2 linked regions of the Daphnia pulex genome follow. The protein of the gene in region 2 binds, or shares a complex with, the protein of the main gene of each other region. Links are inferred from orthologs where the notes say so. Each region holds a gene or a part of one and is shown on either strand. Other genes may lie near its edges.

Region 1 (10,970 bases), on a different chromosome or scaffold from region 2:
ACTATCAATGCCAAATATTTTGTAGATTGCAGATCAATTTCAGATCATCGGGAAGCCAATCAATTTACGAATGTCAGTAATTGTGGGTGGCATGGGAATGATGGATCAAGGCATAGAACTTTCAAATCATCCTCACATAGTCATTGCCACACCTGGCAGGTAATTTTTTATTCATTCTACTACAGTTCCTTTTGGCTTCATTTAGCATTTTCTCTGATAAAGACTAGCAGATCACTTGGAAAGCTGCAAAACATTTTCTTTTAAAACTATTAAATATTTAGTGATGGATGAAGCTGACAGGTTACTGGAAGGGAACTTTGATGAGCAGGTTGTGAAAAGAATTACACACTCTTTTTAAGTACCAGCAATTACTGATTCATAAATCTTGGGTACAGTTGCAGATCATCTTTCAATCCTTACCAGAAAAAAGACAAACATTACTCTTTAGCGCCACCATAACAGATACACTGAACAAACTTCGCGAAGTCGCATTAAATAAAGTAAGTAAAATCTTCAGTATATTTCTTAGAGCGTTAGTCGTTGCATCACTAAAAATATGCGTCATGTTCTAATAGCCATTCATGTGGTCGGCCCCGGTTGAAACTGCGACAGTGGAAGAGCTGGATCAAAGGTATATTCTCGTACCAGCGGATTTCAAGGATGGATACCTGGTTCACGTTGTCCAAAACTTCCGAGAAGAGAAACCCAAAGGATCCATTATAGTTTTTACAGACACATGCAGGTGATATAACATTTTCTTTAACAACCCAAGTGATATCTAAAATAGAACACCAATCTATTTCTCTGATTATAAAGGAGTTGCCAAATTTTGAGCATGACTTTACTGGAACTGGGCTTTCAGAGTTTGTGCCTACATTCCATGATGAGTCAACGCGAACGGATAGCTACATTGACAAAATTCCGTTCGAATACCGTCAAAATTCTTGTGGCTACCGACGTAGCCAGCCGAGGTAAATACTTTCACTTCTCTTTTAACACGAGCTTGTAAACACTCTTGAATGTTTCAGGACTGGATATTCCCACGGTTCAGCTTATCGTCAATCACAATGTTCCTTCAAACCCCAAAGAATACGTGCATCGCGTCGGTCGTACTGCTCGTGCCGGTAGAGGAGGTTTTTCACTGACGTTAATCACCCCCAACGATATCAAACTGCTCCATGCTATTGAAGGGCGCATTTGTAAAGAGCTTAAAGAGTTCAAGATTAAAGGTATGGATTTGCTGAAATTTATTTTTAAGTCGAAGAAGTAACATCTTAAAAATTTTATTTTATACTCGACAGAAAAAGAAGTTGTCAAAATCTTAACGCAAGTGGCTGTAACGAAAAGAGAGCAGGAAATCAACTTGGACGAGCAAGATTTTGGTGAAAAGAAAAGAATCAATAAGAGGAAGAAATTGATAGAGAAAGGGCTTAGTCCTGAAGAAGCCGATCGCGAAATCGAGGCTGATATCGAGTGGAAAAGGAGGAAAGGGGACAAGAATTCTAAATTTAAAAAAAGCAGAGACTCCCGGAAAAGGGATTCAGAAGAAGCTTCAACCTCATCTGCCACGAATATTCTTGTTGAATCGGATTAACGCTTGTAATATTAACGACGAATACAATTCTCAAATCGTTTTTTTTTTTGCTATTTAGATTTGACGAAACGGGCTCATCGTTTTCATCCAACTTTATTAATGCTGACATTTTCGAGTTGATTAATGTCTGTCGGATCAATTAATTTTCTTTAGAATAGCCTGTTTTTTTTTTTTTTTTTTTTTTTTTTTTTTCTGGTAGACATTTCTAAATTAACCGCAAACATTCAGATTGCTGATGGCTGATAAAATATCAAATACCGTGCGTTTTTACCAAGCTCCTTAACAGAATTGCCGAGGCGGCAGGCCCGCAGAAGGGGCGGCGGCGTGCGAGCGATGGAATCCTTTTATTTTAACCTGGCAACGTTAATTTTTTTGAAAAGACAAAACCGTGTCTGACCAAGTCGTGTCGCTGTCACCTAAATATTTGCCTAAAAATTTGGATGATTTGATTTATGAGAAGCTTGGAAGGATTATTCCAGTTAATCTTAGGAAATGTCTTCGAAAAACCGTACAATTCAAAATTTTATTACCTTAGTTCCTGATTACATCCGATCGAAGAGTGAAAGACATGAATCCGAAATTCAAAGGTGCCTTCAGGTAACTGCTTCAATGATTTGGATAGGAAAAAGTATTACATTTTCATTTATTTTTGTTATTTAGGTTTTGTGTCTTATGGAAAACCTTACACTTTTTGATACTCCCCAAGGATATACTACAGAATTTTTTATCAATGTTAGAGAGCTTTTAAGAACATGCGACAACAAATCTAATTTGGGGTGGAAGGGAATAGATATGGTCAAACATTTGAGTTCAAATTCTTCTATTTGTGAGCTTCTTTGTCAATTTCAATTTGTTCCAGTTCTCTCCCACTATCTTCAAGGGCAATTGGAATCTGATAAAGCTGTCTTATTGCTCTCTTTGCTAGAGACATTAACTGATGGAATAATTGTAGACCGATCAGGGTACTGGCTTAGCAATATTTTAAAATATCTTACTAGTGCTATCTTGGAGAAATCAGACTACACACTACCTCATCTGCTTGCTGTTTTATCCAATTTATGCTTTGAAAACTATGTTGTGGTCAATGAATTGCAAAGGACAAATCGTTCTGAAGACTTGCACCAATACCTTGTCCAATTGCAAGCAGATAACCTTTTGCTTCAACTGTATGCATCTCAGGTAATAATCTTTCAGTAAAATTATTTCAAAATAAGATATAATTGATGATTGTTTAATGTTTATTTGTTTTAGGTTTTCTTTAGCTCTCTGGCAATAGGTTCAATCAGTGAATTAATGCTGACCAATTACTTAAAAACAGTACTAGACACACTCACAGTCGGCTTCAAGAGTAGTAACACCAAAATGATCAAGCGAAGTTGCTGTATTTTACTGTGGATGACACGTGATCGCCTAATCCTTGATCTGCTGAAAGCAAATCGTTTCCAACAGCTACTACAGAGTTCTTTGGAAGGCTTGTTCAAGCTTGTTCCAAAATTGCTTACTTCATCTCAACATGCCAGTGATGCAGCCAACTGCATTTTGTTCTACACAACAAAAATACTCCGTACTCAGCTTGTTGTCAACAAGGAGTTCACCGAAGCCTTTATCCCGGCCCTCGTTCCACTTCTTACGAACGCCGCCCTCAACGAAAATTTACTTGAACTTTTGGCTGATTTAACAAACATCACACCGAGCCTTAACTTAAACGAAGAAAGCCTCGATCGTCTAGTTGTGAATCAACTGAACGATTTTAAGAATCCTGCCTGCAAGACATCTTGCAAAATTCTTGGACATGCCTTGCAGATTCTAAAAAATATCCTTTTCAAAAATTTTATACATATTAAGATTATTTACACATAATTGTAATACTGAACATTATTTCCTTAACTTGTTGATTCAATTTTGCACAGCTTTACAAAGTTCAACCTTCCAACATCCGGGTTGCATCGATGCTCAAACCGGAAACCTTTGTCAAAATCGTTTCCGTTTTTACGGATTTCGGCGAAGAAGTGGACCAGAAGAACTCCGACTTGACCCTCATCCCCAATCCTGCCGTTGTTTCACGTTATTCTCCAGAATCTAGAATCATTGTTGTCCAGTGTCTTACACTGTTCGGAGATATTGCTTTCCGAGAAAGAGACCAACTACCAATTTACAGTGATTTGCTGACAAAACCTAATGTGCAACAGTGCCTAGCATCTGCAATCGTACTTGGTGACTGTCACCTCAAACAAGACGCTTTAGCTCTTATTGGTACAGTAGGGTTTAATCGCGAAAGGTAAATTTAATTTGAGACAACAGTTCTATTATTGAAATGATTTTAACGATATTTTAACAGCTTAGCTGGTCTGTCGTATGCTATGGATCAGTTGTACTCCCGACGTGGCAGCGTTACCGATGAGAAGGATCCATTGGTAAACCGTTCAATTTTGAACGTGACCATGTCTCCTGAACAAATAAAGAAACTGGACAAAATCACACAAGACATGAAACACGACAAATTTTGGGAGGTAATAAAATCTGCTTAAGTTTGGTACATGCTTGTATGATATCTAAAAAAAAAATTATGAATTCAGACGATGAAAAATTGCGACGTGGTTGAATTGATGGAGTTACAAATTGCACGACGAGAGCGGGAAGAACTTCGATTGCTACACCAGCTGGATTCGTATAAACAAGAAGTCGATTCATTAAAAATAAATATCATTCAAATTGGAGCTGAGGTAAATCAGGATTTCAAAATATGACATCTTCCCTCGTTTTATTATTTTTGTTTTACATTTTAGAATGAACGGATAATGGCTATGCTCCTCAGCAAAACTCAACTCATTGAAAGCAAAGAGTCGGAGAACCGAGCTATTTCGAGGCGTCTTGAAAAAATGACCGATACGCAACGAGCCAATCAGCATGACTGGACAAGAGTAAACCTACACACACATTTAAGCAGGAAAAAAAATTAACCAACAAACCTTTGAATGTATTCATTAGGAGCGTGAGAGATTGCAAAGGGAAAAGGATAAATTTGAAGTGGCGCAGACTGAAAAAACGAATCAGATCCAATCCCAGCTCGATGGGGCCTTGAAACAAATTAGAAATCTTGTTCAGAAAGGTGAAGATATGGAAGAAGAACTTAAGAAATCGCAAAAATCCTTGGAAGGTAATAACATAGATGTGCATAGAATTTTTTTCTATAGAGATTAATGCCAATTATTTTTATCTTTAATTTGTAGCTGCAAAGCTGGCATACGAGAAAAAATCGAAAGATTTAGACAAACTGTCAAATGAGTTCCAAGAGATCAAGACTAACAGTGATAACCTTGTAAAGTCGCTTCGTAAGAAAGAGAAAGAAAATGAAGAAAAGGATAGAGAAATCATCTCTATGAATCAGGTAAAATGTTCAACTAAAGAAGATATCGGGATCGGACTATCGGGGTTATTTAATTGAAAATTTCCATGTGCTTTCTAGGCAATCAAAAAATCCGAAATGGTGCGTGAAGATTTGGAGGCTCGACTTATCGAATCTGAGAAATCGTGTCAAGAGACCAAGAAGAAACTCACTAAGCTAGAGAAAATTCAAGAATTTATCTATGATTTGTCTTCAGGCAAGAACAAACTCTTCGAGGATAACAAATAATGAACAATTTTAGTAATAGAAATACACAGGTCTGTATTGGTGGAACCTTTTTTGCAACGTCTGAAATACAGAGATATCTTCATTACAATTTTGTGTGTTTGAATAATTCTGCTCTGAATAGTAGAATCATTCCGCGCAAAGAATGGTTTCTCGGTTTAAAAATTAAAAAAACTAATGAAGTGTGTTTGTGAGATATCGCTTAAGACGAATTAGTGGCATCGCCATTGTCGTGGAAGCTGTTACCGTTGACCACAAAAGAATTGCCTAATCCGTAAAGGTGACCGCAGTATTTGGCATCGTCAATGTTATCCTCAAAGAACAACTAGAACGAAGCGTAAAAATGAAAGTTAATTAACCGTAATGAATTGAAAAAAATTAATGCCATTATACCTCTCTCATTTTGAAGAATGCCATTCCTGTTAGTAAGGAATCTGAACCAGCCTGATGTTGGGGACCGATTCTCTCAAGTTCTAGTTGGTCGGCTACTTCTTGCAAACCACCTTTTAGGTTTTTGCAACTCTTCATGAGATACTTGACATCATAGATGGTAGGAAAGTAAATCCTCAGGAGCTCAAAGAACTCACTCTCCTCCTGAGGTAGGTGGTGGTTAGTCAACATTTTCAACATATAGCCAAAGTCATATCCACTGTGGAATGACAACCACTTGATGTTATCCATCAAAACAATCCCAGAAGTCATCATCAGCTCAGCAAAATCTAATGGGTCTATGCCTTCTTCTTCATGTTTTTTGAATTGGAGACCAGAGTTCTGGAGCAGTTCTATACTGTCCTGTGCATACATATCTTCCCTATTAAACAAAGATTAAGATTTATAGTCTTCAGATGAGAAATAATTTGGTTTAGAAACCTTACCCAAGATTAAACTTGAAATTGAATTGCCAGGTAGTGTACCCAGAAGGTGTTTTGCCGTCTTTGTTCAGGAAACTCAAGCCCAGTTGTATGATTTTCAGAAGATCTACATTACACTTTAAAAGCTGGTATTGGTAATCAGCAGGGCTGCGAAATTCACCGATGGGACGGGCAACTACTCCTGGGAACTCAGTATCCATGGCTACATAATTGTATGCTTGTACAATCTGGCGTATATGTCTAAATTCGTCTTCCAAATTGTGAGCCCAGACTTCCCGAATCCCACACTCTTCATTACTAGGATGCATATTTCCTATTTAAAAAAGTAAAAGTGTAAAAATCATTGTCCTAGAAAGTTGATTTAATGAAATAAATAAAGCTAGTTACGATTTATACCAGTTGAAGTTGGCATGGCTATGGATAGTGAAGTTTCAGAAACCCAGTGATCACACTAGATTACACAAAGAATCAAATTCGTATAAACTAGCATATCCAGCAGCACATCACTCGAGCCTTCAAAACAATAAATTGATAAAAGAACCCTACAATTAATTCGATATTAACACCACTAGGTTAAATTTAAAATGATATTTGACACATCGACTCAGTGGGAACTTCACCTGAAATGTTTTCCGAGTTTTACAACAGCCTCTATATATATACAGTGGTGCCATCTTCGAAAATAGCGATAGATTGTTTGACAGAAAAAAACAGCTGACAAACGAAATGCGGCGATAGCCCCTTAATAAATAAAGCGCGAAACAAAATACGGAAAAAATATGGAACGAGTGAACGACAACCCTAAAACGTCAAATTGAACTGCGGAGCGGGAGTTTTCGTTCATTACAAATGTTGAAAACGCAAGACAAATCGATTAACAAAAGGACATATTGACATTATTCAATACTCACAAGTAATTATGTTTTTCAAGGAGTACGTAAACCAAAAATACTTGCCTTTGTAAGATGCTAACTTGCTCAGAGTAAGAACTCTAAAATAGGTTGTAAACAAATTAATTGGAGACTAACTTCAAACCGTACTTCCAAATTCGATCGTTGGTTCCAATCTAATAATCTGGCGGAAGTAATGCCAAACTTAATATTTTTGCAGATATCGCACGCAGGTAGGGCCTATATGATGTTCAAGTTGAATCTTTTGCATGTACGTTCCGCGTTTTAGTGTGACTCCGAGGCGACGTCCAGCGGCAAAGGATCAGGTTCGTCTAAACGGTTTCCAGCTACACCTTTCTTCTTTCTGCCACAGAGAGAAGTCCTCGTGCTTGTGGTTGAACGTAATTTTGCAAGTCAGAACCGAATCACTTCAGCCGGCTATCTAAAAATGGTACGATATTCGTCATTTCTCGTTTATTTACTTGTCTGTATCAAAGTCGCAATTCACTTTTCAATAATCAATTGTGAAAAGTCGGTTTTTTTCTCTCTTTTATGTTTTAATGGCGTACTGTCATTTGACAGAAAGTCACATGGTTGATATGTAAATTTGCTCATACTGAATTTTTTCTTTCTGAGTAAATGGAACCAAATGATCATGTAATCTTTTATAACTTTATGTATTTTTTAGGTCTCACTCAACCCAACCAGAATCTTGAAACATGAGGGTGAAGAAGAGAAGGCTGAAATTGCTCGCTTGTCCTGTTTTGTTGGTGCCATTGCCATTGGTGAGCTGGTGAAAAGCACTCTTGGTCCTAAGGGCATGGACAAAATTCTTGTTGGTGTTGGCCGCAATGAAGGACAAGTAGGTTTAAGATTTTTCTTGTGCTTGATTTTACTTAGTCATTAAATTCCTTTGTTAGGTTGAAGTAACAAATGATGGTGCCACCATTTTGAAAGCAGTTGGAGTTGATAATCCTGCAGCTAAAGTCCTTGTAGACATGTCAAAGACCCAGGATGCTGAAGTTGGGGATGGCACAACTTCAGTGACTGTCCTGGCCTCAGAGCTTTTGCGTGAAGCTGATAAGCTTGTTGAAATGAAGTTCCACCCTCAAACCATCATTGCTGGATGGCGTAAGGCCTCTCAGGCTGCCAAAGAGGCTCTTACTAATGCAGCTATTGATAATGGGTAAGATAGACATAATAGTTTCATTTTGCACAAAAGACCAACACAACATGTATTTGATCAATGTATTGATTTTTTTTAAAATCTCGTTTCATTTATAGGAAAGATGAAGCTAAATTTCGCGAGGATTTAATGAACATTGCTCGAACGACTTTGAGCTCAAAAATTCTTTCTCAGCACAAAGAGTTCTTTGCCAAGATCTCTGTCGACGCAGTTTTACGTTTGAAAGGATCAGGTAACCTTCAAGCTATTCAAATCATCAAAAAGCAAGGAGGTACCCTCACAGATTCCTTCCTCGACACTGGGTTTCTGCTTGACAAGAAACCGGGAGTCAACCAACCAAAGAGGGTTGAAAATGCCCGTATCCTTATTGCCAATACACCCATGGACACAGATAAAATCAAAGTAATTTAAACTTCGATGACTATCAAAGAATTTGAACTTAATCCATATTTTTAGGTTTTCGGCTCACGTATCCGCGTTGATTCCGTTGCTAAAGTTGCAGAATTAGAGTTGGCTGAGAAAGAAAAGATGAAGGAGAAGATTGAGCTCATTCTTAAGCACAATTGCACCGTCTTTATCAACAGGTTTGTCATTCTTTCATAATTCTTTCATTAATTTGAAATTTGCTATCTTATATGGCTTCAGAAATTCTTTTGTTTGTTTATGAAATATTTGAGATTCTGTCAGTTAGCTTATTTATTATCCATGTATTCTAGAATTTCTGTAGTAAATTTTATAATTTATGGTTGATTTTTAAATCAAAAATTTTTTATTTGTGTGATTTTATAGACAATTGATCTACAACTACCCAGAACAACTGTTCGCTGATGCCGGTGTTATGGCTGTGGAACACGCCGACTTTGATGGTATCGAGCGCCTTGCGTTGGTAACTGGAGGTGAAATCGTCTCTACTTTTGGCCATCCCGAACTTGTCAAACTTGGACGCTGTGATCTTATCGAAGAGGTTGAGCAACTTTCACTTTCTGGTAGAAAGAAGAACTCACGTAATTTGTTTTTTAGGTCATGATTGGTGAAGACAAATTGTTGCGATTCTCTGGCGTTCCATTGGGTGAAGCTTGCACACTTGTGTTGCGTGGTGCAACCCAACAGATTCTTGATGAAGCTGAACGTTCAATTCACGATGCTCTGTGTGTTTTAGCTTCGACTGTTAAGGAAACACGCACCGTCTACGGTGGAGGTACTATTTTTGTATTCCATGTTATCCGTCGTGCACCTGGGATTTTACCATTTTATTTCAAAATCCCAAGGTTGCAGCGAAGTACTCATGGCCATGGCAGTATATGCTTTGGCTGCCAAGACTCCGGGTAAAGAATCGATGGCTATGGAGGCTTTCGCCCGCGCTCTTCTCCAGCTACCCGTCGTGATTGCCGACAATGCGGGCTATGACTCAGCCCAACTTGTGTCAGAGCTCCGAGCAGCACATTCAGAAGGGAAAGCCACCTTTGGTCTAAGTATGTCGTCAGAAAATCTTCATGTTGCACATGCAATTCTAAAATGTGTTCATTGATTGTAAATAGATATGGATCTCGGCAAGATCGACTGTATGCAGCAGTTGGGCGTGACTGAATCGTTCGTTGTCAAGCGCCAGGTGCTTGTATCAGCAGCTGAAGCGGCTGAAATGATTCTTCGCGTTGATGACATCATTAAGGCAGCACCTCGCCGTCGTGAACAAGACAGGAGTCATTGTTAAAGTTGCACTGTCGATGCACAGCTTACGTCCTAACTTGAACTCGCATCCAGTTTTTTCCCCCCTTAAGTGGTCCGCTCTTTTTGCTCGAGCCCACTCTTTTGCTTCGTCCTTCTGTACTGGTCCTATAATCTACTACAGCTGATACACTGAACAATTGCTTAGTAAAAGAAGTTAATTCTTGTTCTTCTTTTTTATATTAGTTTCTGCTCTGTTAGTTAATCCAGCTCTAATATACTAAAAGGCTTCTCTTTAGAAAGCTATGGTATTTCCGTACGACTTAAAAATGGAAACGTGAGCACAATCTCATTAGAGCTTGGTGTGTCAAGCTTTCTCGCCCGTGAAGCCATTTTTCCAGTTTCTTTTTCGAGCCGAAATTTTTATCTAAAAGCAACAGCTACTTATTTTTCGTTTACACAGAAGAAGGAATACAAATTGCTTTCAGACTATCATTTTATAGTTCACTTACTCAAACCCAAAAACTCCCTTTCGGCAACTCGCCCTACCGGCGAGGCCGTCGAATACGGAAAAAGAAAATTTTCGTTTCCCTTGGGACGACTCTCCTTTGTTTGTTTGGCAACTGAGCAGCGAGCACTTTTATTTAGTCTTAAGATGGCAGAGAGGCATGAAGGGTGCTGATTGCCTTCCGTTCTGAAAAGTCCGTTTTGCCTGAAGGACTTCCTCCTATTGTGCACTTCAATTTCAACTGTTGGTAGTTGCCGCCGTACATTTGACGTAACTGTGTTACAAAACTTCATCGTAATAAGCATACGATGAAATAGTGATTAAACCGAACTTTAGTGGAATCCGTTTACATAAATGTTGAAAGGCTATTGTTTTTGTTTATGGTGTGATTTGCTCCCGTGTAAAATAATATGTTGCCATTGCATTCGACACTGAATGTGTGGGAAATTTGACTCATTAGTGTGGGAAACCTATCTGTGCCTAGTGAACTATGTCTGCAACAAAAGTGAAGTCATTGCTACCCCCACCTTCAGTCGAGAGCTCATTTTCTTCCTCAGGTTCTTGCTCTGCTGAAGGTAATAAATTGTTCAGCTTCTTTAATTTTGATAGTCGTGGTTGAGAAAA
Region 2 (11,578 bases):
CTGGATGAATACACTCTTGAACAGCTCGTTCAACAGCTGGTCGGATAAGGATCCTTAAATTCGGATGCGCCGTCAACAGCGGTATGTTATTATTAACTACTAGATGCTGAGCTAGTCCGGCCAACGAAGTGACATTGATGTCCAAATAAGAAAACCTCGGATCAGGAGGGCCTTGAATTGCGTGGGCTGGTGTTGGAGTAGTTGTGCCAGGCTGGGATTGCATTTGTTGTGCAGGTGAGCCAGCAAGTTGTGGCGGTGGTGGTGGCTGCTGCTGCTGCTGTTGTTGTTGTTGTTGCTGCTGTTGTTGTTGTTGTTGCTGCTGCTGCTGCTGTTGTTGTTGTTGTTGCTGCTGCTGCTGTTGAAGTTGCTGCTGCTGCTGCTGAATGATTTGCAATTGTGGTGCTGGTTGATACATTTGCTGTAATTGCGGCTGGGACAACTGCGGTTCCAAACGTGACAGACGATTGTGATCCTTGAAGACTACTCCCGGCTTAAGATCGTGAATATCAATGGCTAGAGTTTTGCAAAGAACTTCGACTTCAAATTTAAGATTAAGTTTCAAGTCAGGCTCCTGATGTAGTTCTGCCAAAACATTCATGATTCCTAGGGTCCATGGATTGGGTGGTTTGAACACTTTGCTCTTAGCACATGACTCTAAGACTTTCGCCACGAATGGTACGACGTACAGAAGTTCTTGTTGCCCTTTGTGATACGCTTCGACTAGAATTGATTTTAAATCAATATCTCCCTGAATATTAAATGAAGTTGCAGTTTAGCAAAATTGGTACACAATTTAAAAATAAAATAATGAATTACCTGTAGAATCGGCCGGTTTTTAGATAGCATCAAAAGTCCAAGCCAATGACCAAGATTTTTCAACAGTGTGCGATCTGAGAAATTTGCTATTCCCTTGTCACTACGAAGGAGTACCTTGATATTGCGGAACGTCTCACCAATGACAAGTCGACTGAGCTCGGATAGCTTCAGTGTGTCAAGGAAGTTTGAATAGAGTGTGTGAAAATTTGGTTCAATTGAAGCTCTTTTCATCACCAGATACTGGGCTACCCAAGACCAATGTTCTTCACCCACAATGTCACGCAATTCTTCGCACTTTTGCGTCAGGTTTAATTGACTCAGATTATTAAATATGAAGCTGACTTTGTCTTGGACGCTCTCTGGTGGGTCTACAATTAAGACGTCTTTCTCCGAAGCAACCAGCAATGTGTCGATGTTGGTCGCGTTTGCTATTGACGGTCGACCACTCATAGGTGCAGCAGTAGAGGTCGTTTTACCAGCAACCGTTGTAGTTGGCGTAGTCGGAGTAGTGGTTTTGGCAGCTGTCGTCACTTGAGGTAAGACTGGACCATGAGGACGATTGGGTGGCTCGACGCCACGGGAGCCATTATCGATATACTCGATTAGATGCGGCGGGAACTCCCGAAAATGCGGAATGCTGGCCAAATGTTGACAATATTGCGGATATTCCTTCAATCTATGTCTGAACCGATCTAAGGCAGTGATCCCAAAATAGTACATCTTCGTCCCGTGTGGTTTCCGGACAGCTTCAAGTACGTAACGTAGTGCCACTCCCAGAGCCATGTAGGTGACGAGACCATGCTCCATGATTCCACCAAACAACTGAGCCGTTATGTGCAGCTCGCGATCTGGATACTGAGGGAAGAAACGATACTCTTCGAATAGATTCCTCAACATGCAGTCAAATATCTCCCGTTCACGGCGGTTAGTCGAATGTTGAAACTTCTTCAAAAGTTCAAGAACTTCATCGACTGTCAAGGTAGGCGTTGAAGGCGATTGGTTGTAAATCCGCTGGAAATAACTATTTGTCTCGTCTTCGATATCCTTTGTTACACAAACACGAATGCGTCCATTAGGTGTGGGGAAAATAAAAATAAAAAAAATATTAGCTTACTTTTGAAACAGCTTGTGGCATGTCAGCAAAAGCACTAGATACATCGCCGGTTCTTCGTTCTTGGCCTAGGTGAGGATTCATTCCTACTCGAACAGGGCCATTGACAATCGATCCAGGAGAACCAGCCGTACCAGATCCAATATTGCTCGTACCCATACTTGATTGACCGTTCCCGCTTCCACTCGCCATAGAAGATGGAATACCTATGCCCAGTGGATTTGTACTGGATGATCCAGGCATTGCTCCAGTTCCAGTTAATGAAGAAAAAATGGAGAAAGTACTTTGGTTCTGACTCGAGTTGGAATTGTTTGGCATCCCCACAACCGTTGGCTGATTGACTCCTGAAAAGCAAAACAAGTAAATAAATATTAGTTATAAGAATTGGATGAGTCGATTTCGAATGGTGTAATTCATTACCAGTTTCTAGCAAAGACATGCTAGAGAACAATTTTCCAGGCGATCCGGGGGCTGGAGTATTTCCTCCGAGTGTATTGGACCCAATATTAACAGCAAATCCAGATGAAGTTGGTGGACCTAAGCCCATGCTACTAAGGCTGGGCGAAAGACCAGTTGAGTCAACTCCAGGAGGCGGAAATAGTTGGCTGCTTAAGGTTCCTGGTGGAAATGAAACGTCAACTCCAACTCCACTGCCAGGACGGATAGGTTTCAAGACGCCAGGTGGGGGTTGCGCTCGGGCACGATTCAGGACGTTGCAATTCGCAACCATTGTATTTATAGTATCAGATAGTTCTTGAGACACATTTCCAGTCCAAACCTTATGAAGATGCAAATAGAATTTTAGTTTGATCAATTTAAAAAATCTGATTTACAACAAAGAAACATACCTGCAGGCAGGACAACATGATTGCTAGTGTGTCCGAGGGAAGTTGAGTGGGCTTTAGACCAGCTTCTTCTTTAACTTTCCCGGAGATTTGAGGACATCTCTGGTGTAGAAAGTTAACGCATGCTGCAACGAAGGTTTCCCCATGTTCACGCATTTTGTCTGTCAGCCATTTGTCGAGTTTGAGATATTCACGGCGCGATGCTAGACACGAGAGATCGATGACAAAAGGGAAGCGCTGCACATTTAGTAGCATAGATAGAGCCTTTAGGTCCTGGGCTACATCGAGAATTCTTGATAACCGCGCTTGATCGTGTTCAGCTCTCATGTACCACTCAGCCATAGCGTGCATAACCAGAGGTTTGACCAGAGGTGACTGTGCATGCCAGACATGGTGTAGAATGATGGCAGAGTTTGGATGATTGCCCAAAAAAACAGGAATAAGACTGCTGAGCAATTCTTGTCTGAGTTTAGTCATTGGTTGTGTCAGCTGAAGAAGCCCAAGGACTAAAACATCGGGACAGTGTTGAACAGGCTCCTTAAGCAATTCTTGCACCTGGCTGTAAAGCCCGCCGTTTTCCAATAAGTTGAGAAGAGTTTCAAGCAATCCCAGGCATTTCCAACTGGCAAGCTTCTTGTTATCAGGTTCAGGGGGTGATTTCAGAATTTCGACATTAATGGCGTGGTGTGGATAGTCGGCAATGCAAAAGAGATCCGTATTCCTCATTAATTGCGAAAGCAGCGATAGCTGAGCTTCAGCGTTGTTCCATGATTGATACAGCAACTCGGCTGGGAAAGTTGCGCCCTGTGTTTGCAGGCCCAATTGTAGGGCCGTCAGGAGAAGGCGCAATCCTGCTCTATCTCTTATGAGGAAACTAGGGTGGTCCAATTCTGAAACAATTTCTTTCCAGTTTAAACTTGGCACCAGCTCCGTAACAACCTGAAAATGAGCAATTTTGGATAAGAACATACAAAATAAAGAAGTAACAAACATTTCCACTACCTGGACAAATATTTCCATGTTCCATGAGGTAGGAAGGCCTTCGTCGCTTTTATCTCCTGAGCTTTCTTGCTCAGGCCATGATTGTGATGTACCATTTCTCAAGTGTCTTAATGAATGTTCGTCCAATCCGCTGTGCGTGCGAACCATGTAGATTATTGCACGAGCTACCGATGTGGGAGACAATTCGCGAAAACCGAAGGTCGTGATATTTGCACGGCATTCTTCGAGACTTGATGTGAATGGGTATCCAGTTTCAAGGATCAAATCGGCCAATGATGTTTCGACCATATTCTTGGTCAAACTGTTAGTTTCGTGTGCCATCTTATGACAAGTGTAGTCTACCCCTTGCTCCTTGTAAAGGATTGGGGCTAAAATCACAGGGACCAATTCACGAGGATAGTCACGGCGCAAGCAGCTCAATACGTCCTCTAAAAGGTCTTTGCTTATTCCAAATGTATCCGGCTCGTTGATCAATCGACTAAGAATGTAGTGAATGACTTCAGGAGACGATTCCTATACAAATACATTAGAAATTATACACGAACACATTAAACTTGCTTACGCTTTACCTGTAGTCCTCCTTCCAACGGGGCAGTATTCCTATCTTGATCAGCAAAATTTTTCAATAGTTCACTAAGTTTCTGGCGAATAATTAGTATAGACTGTGAACGCGCTTCAGGGTTGAATGTTTCTAAAAGAGCAATCCTAAGAACCACCTCTTGGCTTCGTGACAGTCGCAAAAACCGACAGAAATTGCTGATAACTGCCGAATTGCTTTTGAATTGTTGTTGAACACTTCTAGTAAAGTTGCTTCTCAATGGCTGTTCAAGGGCACTATTCAGAAGACTAGGGAATGCTGGCTGGGTGATGCAATGTCCAAAAAAATCAGCCAGAAGCTGCTCTCTTTCCTTCTCCTTGCCTGGGTTATTTGACTTGACAGATGATGAACTTTCACCGTTTCCTAACCCCACAAAGTCAACTCCAGCAAGACAGCAACAAAGAAGATGTCTTTCAGCTTCAATACCATAAATGGTAACTAATTCTTCAATGCTTTAATAAATATCAAAATTAACATGATGTTTTTCAATAAAATTGAATTTTCTAACCTATTTCTAGATTGAAGATAGTTCTTTTTGTTGAGGCTGTTGACCAGGTATTGGATCTGTGTCAGCGCCAGTGACAGTGAGTCTAGGCTCATAGTTCCATGAAAGACAGAGGGCTGGCAGGTGAAAGCTTCAAAGCCCAGGAAAATGGCCTTTGAAGCTTCCCTCTGTGGCCGACACTGACATTAGCAACCACTCACGAAACACTTTAGGTCAGCAACTGTCGAAACCTGAAAAGAAAAAAATGTTGGAAGAAACTCATTGATTGACTAAAGATACATGTTGAAATATTTTGACATCAAGAGTATCATAAAAATAATAACAGGAATTGACAATAACATTAAAAACTTAAACTAAAAACTTTGTCTATTATTTGGTAAATGGCCATTGTTTACCGCACGATCAAGCTTTGGCTTCTTGCCTAAACAAAGAAATTGTTCAAGAGGTCATTGCGATTGGACAAGTTAACATTGGCCGATTGAAATGGGGAAATTCGGATTTAATTAAAATACAACATACCAGTGATTTTTACTTTTTTTCTTAAAATGATTTATAAATTTCAGCTTGAAATGTTCAAACGAAATAATCAAACAAATTCAAACCAATATGGCTGCACGATCAACCTGAACCTGAACAAAAAAATCAGCTGGCCACAAGAAATTTGGAATGAAGATGAAGCCGAACAAATTCAGCCTATTTCGTCAACGCCTCTAGCGGTAGAGAAGAGAATTTTTAGCTTTCTTTCGGAAAAACTCAAAAAAGGTTGACAAAAATAAAGTAAGTATAAAATACAGAATTTGTTAGGCTCATTATTTGTTTTGAATATATTTTACATAAATTTTTCCGTCAGAAATTATATCTACTATGCAAAATGAAGGGATGACTCAATGTCAATGTAACTCATGCGCTGGCAGTAGTACACTTTATACACTCATTCTTTGCGACCGACGTCTTATTTTCTGAAATTTTTATATTTCAATAATAAAATTTAAAATATGAAAACATTAATACATTCCATAATATATTTACAGTGATTTTTCATTTTAATAGCTAGCGCTTTTTAAAAATTTTAATGTAATGTATAGATGGCGTCCGGAAAGGTTTTCCAGTGTGGTCACCAAAAAGTTTACGAGTACAAACACCAAGCCTGACTTATTGTGAACAAAAAAGAAAACTAAACTGCGCCATATTAAAGCTTGGCTTCCTTCATCGCAGCCCTCCAAAATCTCCCGCCGTTCCAACTGAAAAAATTTATTAACTACTAGGGCTCTACTGTCTTCAAGAAAACCATCGTCAGGGCTGTTTACAACAGCAACAATTCTAATTTTTTGCGTTCAAGAAGGGTTATTTTAAACTCTAAATTCGCAAGGATTTCAGGAAAATTAGACTGAATTTTGGTAAGGTTAAATTACTACCACAAACAAAACAGGTCACTTCCATTTCTTTTGCGACGAGGCTCATACTAAGTTCGAAAACGGTTTTTTTTTTATTCGATTAGTTGCTACAAACAGGGGTGTTATTGGCTACATGTGTTCTTCATTGGAACATAGACTGATTGGAACATTTGACAATGCTCAAAACATGTCACTGCAGCCATGTGTGTATTTTGAAAGAGGCTATTGTCGAAGAAGAACTTAATCATGAAATTCTTCTAAAGGCATGGGTTGGAATTCTGCAGAATCAAAACATCGAAGGAGAAAAATGCTGTGGTGATGCTTTTGTAGTCTGCGATAAACAGACAAATAGGATGTGATTCAAGAAGTGAAATGTTGTGCAAGTGTCAACGGAACACAGTACCAACTTAGAATTAATGCATTTTTAAAGTTAGTGTTAATACTTCGTCATCTTCATTCTTGATTATTCAATGCATGAAGCTGCCCTTTGTCCATTCAATCTCAGTTTCCACAAGCTGTATAGTTTCTTTGAAACATGATGTGTGGTGCTGGAATCTCAGTTCTTAAAATCCCATGACATGACATCATGCTTCATTTTTTAAATCTGAACCTGTTCAAAGGAACCTACTCTGGAACCCCCTCATGCAGTTTTTCCTATATTGTATGTTGTGTATGTTGGGTTACCCTTCAATTTTCAGAGGATTTTGTTGAGGTTAAAGAAAAGAAATGCGAGCTGCAGTGTACAAACCATTTTCGAAGTGGGAGCTTTCGACAAAGCAGTAGCGTTTTCTTTTATATAGCAAAGATAATTTCAGTGTTAACTTTTATTTATTTGCTCATGGGGTCGACCTGTTTTCAAAGTACCAGAGATTCTCTAGAAAGTTCAGTAATCTACAGCTTTTTCCTCCAATGAACTGTTGGATTTTTTTTTTTTTTTTCCTATTTTGCATCATTAAAATCCAGAGTGTGTGCTAGGTTTCTTGCCTGGCTGAAAAAAAGCCAAAGCCTTAATTTTCTTTTTTTTTTCTACCATTGGAGACGTCGCAAGTTTCTAAAGTTTGCTTGGCCGGGAAGGAATAAAGAATCGCAGTTGCGTCGAAAACAAATAGGCTGTTTGTGAGGCGGGTTCTTCTGAGTAAAGAAAAAAAAACGAAATCAAAATGTAACTTGATTAGCGATTGATGTAAGTCTGAAGGTGTGCGACACATTTGACGTCACGGCTTAACTGGGTTGGAAAGAGGCGTCTGAATCAAGCCATGTCCATATTTTGAAAAATTTTGAGGTTTTGAGGGTTTTTTTAAGAAACGTTTGTCCCGGTGAGAAAGTCAATGCGATAATCCATCATGGCACTCGATACAAACAACACACGTGACGCACTAACATTGTTTGTTTTTGTTGGAAATGGATTTCGTCGAAAGAAGTGGATTGATTTATTTTGATGTTATAATCTTGAGATATGTTGTTATCACTGGGTGATTACTGATCATTTTACCTTCCACTCCATTCGAATAAAGGGCAACACAGAGGCATCGCACCAGTTATAGCTGATTACGAAATAGGCCGCATGCAACTGAGTCGGCGTTAAATTCAGAAGTGACCGTCGAAGAAAAAGAAGAAGAAATCAAGAGTGAAGATGAGTGTCATTATTCGACTACAGAACTTGCCTTGGTCGGCCAACGCTGCAGATATTCGACAATTCTTCCATGGTCTATCCATACCAGAAGGGGGCGTGCATATAGTCGGGGGGCAACTAGGCGACGCGTTTATCGCATTCAGGTAACAATTCAACGACCCCAATATCTTAATAACCAACATTGATAAAGTATAACGGTGAAGCAACACGACGCTTTCAAAATATTGATCGCACATGCGTTACCAGTGTTGTTGTTTTTTCTGAAAACGAAACATTAATGTCTATCTTTCAATTTAAATTTAGTACTGACGAGGATGCGCGACAAGGAATGGCATCGGACGGTGGTATGTTGAAGGACTCGCGAGTCAAGCTGTACTTGAGTTCTCGAACGGAAATGCAAAAGATCATTGAAGAGACACGACAGCAGCACTTGGCTATGCAAGGCGCTGCTAGCGGAGGAAGCAACATGGCTCCTACGTCAGCAGTTCAGCGCCCTTTTACAGGAGGCCCCTTTGCTCCTAGTGCCGCTCCTGCCGCCCATAGCAATCCCCCTATCAGCGGACCACCTGGACTACGAGCAACATCCAGCACCAGTGGCAGCAATTTCCATATGCACATGGATCCTAGTCAGGGCCATCCAGGGGGCTATGATCATCAAATGTATCCACAACCACAAAGTCATCAACCATATAACCCAAGTCAAAACATGTTGGCAGGTGGTGGGCAAAATCCTGTTCATGCCGGTGGTTTCCCGCCTCACATGAACCCTTCACAGACTTACGCTCCCCACTTGCCGCAAGGAGGACCTCATATTCCACAGCATTTCGGTCCGCGTATGAGAGAAGTTATTGAGGAGCCTCCCTTATTACCGTATGGCGGTGGCCAGCAAATGTTGCATGGAACCGGTGGGGACATGCAAGATGTGTATGCTCACGGAGGGCCGCAACGTTTTGACCAGAATCGCCGCAATTCTCGTGACACTCCCCCAGACGTCCAGGATAGGAATCGCGATATGGGTCGTGCTGGTTACAGAAGTAAAGAGCGCAGTCGAAGAGACAGACAAGATCGCGACAAAGAAAGAGGTTCAGACATGAGTAGACGTGGAAGGAGGAGTCGCAGTCGTAGCGGAAGTCGCGGTCGTGGCCGAGATCGCCGCCGTCGAAGTCGCTCGGATAGTCGCGAGAGGGCTAGAAACTCACGGGATCGTGACCGTGATCGGAAACTCAGCAAATCAGGACTTCTTCCTACTCCGGCCGAGGAACTGGAAGCCAATCAACAAAATGAAAATGTGCCGGATACTTCTGTTCAGTTACGTTTGCTGACTGGAGACTTGACTTACCGAGACATTAGAGATTATCTTAGTGGAATTAATGTCCCAAACACATGCATCAAAATGATCAACGCATTGGATGGCTATCGATTCGGTCTGGCGTATATTCGATTCACTTCCAATGAAGACAAATTAAAAGCGCTTACCCGCCACAATGGTAAAGAAAACTTAAGTCAATTTTATTCGTGAATTAAAATGGAATTAATTTGTTGTGTATTTTTTTTTTTTTTTTTTTGTTTTAGGTACGATTCGTGGCTATCCTGTTCAAATATTCAATGTTAAGGATTCGACATTTAACCAGGCGATTGATTCTTTCTCACCTGGAATTAGTCTTGATGCCAAGAGTTTATCGAATTCTTGTCTTTCATTGAGAGACTTCCCACCGGTTGCGACAGCACAAAATGTCAAAGAAGCTTTTGGTACGATCTCGATTGGTCAGGTGCTGCCAGAGCGGAACGAGAGCGGAACCGTCACCGGACTTTGCTTTGTTGAACTCCGGAGTGAAGCCGATGCTCGCAAAGCCATCCAACTCCTGAAAGACGGTGTCATGATCTGCGGCCGTCAAGTCAAGGTGGCCTTTCTTCCCTTGGAGGAATTACATGTCTGCTCCAAAAATCTTGAACGCTTCCGTGGCGTTGTCGGCGCTGTGATGACCACCCCTCCAACTCAAACTGACAGTCCACTTTCACCTGGTCAATCTGCTCCTCATCGTCCTCCTGCAAGCAACAGACCAGGTCCCCCTTTCGTTGATCGTTCCCAAAGCGGCGGCAATGGTTCTTACGATGCGCCACCGAATCAGCGAGGTCGTCTTTTTGTCGGTCCACAACGTGTCTTCATTACGGGTTTGCCTCCATCTGCCCTGGAACGCGATATTGGCGATTTCTTCTCAGACGTTGGCGTCATTCCGCAGATCATTGAAATCGTCTACGATGAAGAACGTATGCCCGTCGGAAACGCTTATTGCCAATTTGCCAGTATGCAGGAGGCAGAGAGAGCCTTGGATAAGAATGGCGGTTTCATGGGAGGCCATACTGTCAGCGTAACTTTAGTCGAGAATCCAGATGCCGCTCCTGTTGTTAGCAGACATCCTGCCGCCGAAGAGAATAAGATAAGACGTTTCAGTCCATATCTTGATACAAATATGAACCAGTCAGATCACGGACCAAGAGGATATGGACATCCGGGACCTAGTGATCCGTACAACAGGCCGCCGATGGGCGCTGACGGAGGAAATGGATACAATCCGCAAATGGGCCCACGTTTCGGTGGTCCTCGATTCGGGGGCGGTCCTCGTTACCCTCCTGGTGGAAGCAACCGAGGAAATTTTTCTGGCAGCGGTGGGCCTGGTCCTCGCACTCGTCCTAATATTAATATGCGAATAAGAATGCCCGGAGGTCCAATTCAGAATGGAGGTGGTGGTCGAGGCGGAAGTGACGATGGATCCCCAACTCCTGGTTTCGGAGCCCCTGGCTGTGTCATCGCGCTCTCCAATGTACCTCACAAAGCCATTATTGCTGACATATTGGATTTCTTCCGTGGCTTTCAAGTCAATGAAAAATGTGTTATTCGGCGATTTGGACCCAACGGTGAACCTACTGGCGATGCTCGTGTCGCTTTTCTTACACCTGACGAAGCTGAGTTAGCTGTACGTACACTTCAAAATGAGTACTTGATGAACCGTAGGGTCAATCTGTCTATTATCTGAACAATTCTGTCTCAATTTTCTTTTCAGTTACAATTATGTCAAGGAAAATTTTCAACTGTTCATAACTTTGTTCACATTACATGATAATACATTGACAATTCAGATTCCAGCCGTTTCTGTTGCAATTTTAATTGAGAAGGGATCCAACTTACAGCGCTTAAAGTAGTAACGTATTAAATGATAAACAAGAATATCAAACCGTGATTCATGTGAAAAATCAATTAAAGTTAACCAAAATTGCTCCACCCATAAGTTAAGAGTGGGGTCGGTAGCAGACAAGGATTTTTTTTCTTTTACTTTCCCTAAGTTACACAGAAGGTAGTACTTGCCCAATTAAATATCCTTATTCTTCCATATGCATCTAACGCTGCTGTGGAATACCGTGAGAACAGTGTCATTTCTTATCTTAAGAACCGAATTTCAAAATTCCTTGACGCTAAAGTATTTATTCATTTAAGCATCTGGTTGAAAATAGGGAAGCAAAGAAAAAATGTGCTTTGGATGAATTGGATCCTATAATAACTGTATATATACGGTTAAAACAGTGCGAAAATCTATCTACATCACAAAAAAAGTAATTAACTGAGAGTCTAACATACTGGTACATAAGTTTCCTAATTGGCATTGTTTACTAAAGAA

What was found.
Region 1: CCR4-NOT transcription complex subunit 1-like (region 2) and CCR4-NOT transcription complex subunit 7-like share a complex: the UniProt entries of both Caenorhabditis elegans proteins name them as parts of the CCR4-NOT complex. The link is inferred for Daphnia pulex from reciprocal best matches to the Caenorhabditis elegans genes let-711 and ccf-1.

Annotation. Positions count from the first base shown.
Region 1 is NC_060023.1:8,134,707-8,145,676, reverse strand, and holds CCR4-NOT transcription complex subunit 7-like, read right to left. Parts: upstream 6,818-10,970; 5' UTR 6,718-6,817; exon of another isoform or gene 6,611-6,717; 5' UTR 6,510-6,610; coding exon 6,485-6,509; intron 6,411-6,484; coding exon 6,101-6,410; intron 6,037-6,100; coding exon 5,619-6,036; coding exon of another isoform or gene 5,613-5,618; intron 5,551-5,612; coding exon 5,428-5,550; 3' UTR 5,242-5,427; downstream 1-5,241. Other genes in the region: probable ATP-dependent RNA helicase DDX49, read left to right, coding at 26-159, 223-328, 396-500, 576-742, 817-971, 1,029-1,229, 1,302-1,594; uncharacterized protein LOC124197609, read left to right, coding at 2,087-2,191, 2,255-2,773, 2,846-3,407, 3,503-3,872, 3,933-4,104, 4,171-4,317, 4,381-4,515, 4,583-4,751 and 2 more; T-complex protein 1 subunit beta-like, read left to right, coding at 7,436-7,438, 7,676-7,849, 7,908-8,173, 8,272-8,575, 8,630-8,757, 8,963-9,137, 9,194-9,371, 9,442-9,645 and 1 more; serine/threonine-protein kinase DCLK1-like, read left to right, coding at 10,837-10,921. UniProt on the Caenorhabditis elegans protein: Catalytic component of the CCR4-NOT complex which is one of the major cellular mRNA deadenylases and is linked to various cellular processes including bulk mRNA degradation, miRNA-mediated repression, translational repression during translational initiation and general transcription regulation.
Region 2 is NC_060019.1:12,271,348-12,282,925, reverse strand, and holds the start of CCR4-NOT transcription complex subunit 1-like, read right to left. Parts: upstream 5,558-11,578; 5' UTR 5,397-5,557; intron 5,108-5,396; 5' UTR 4,973-5,107; coding exon 4,881-4,972; intron 4,825-4,880; coding exon 4,344-4,824; intron 4,288-4,343; coding exon 3,775-4,287; intron 3,712-3,774; coding exon 2,776-3,711; intron 2,706-2,775; coding exon 2,348-2,705; intron 2,272-2,347; coding exon 1,931-2,271; intron 1,861-1,930; coding exon 817-1,860; intron 749-816; coding exon 1-748. Other genes in the region: RNA-binding protein 12-like, read left to right, coding at 7,905-8,047, 8,208-9,391, 9,477-10,939. UniProt on the Caenorhabditis elegans protein: Scaffolding component of the CCR4-NOT complex which is one of the major cellular mRNA deadenylases and is linked to various cellular processes including bulk mRNA degradation, miRNA-mediated repression, translational repression during translational initiation and general transcription regulation.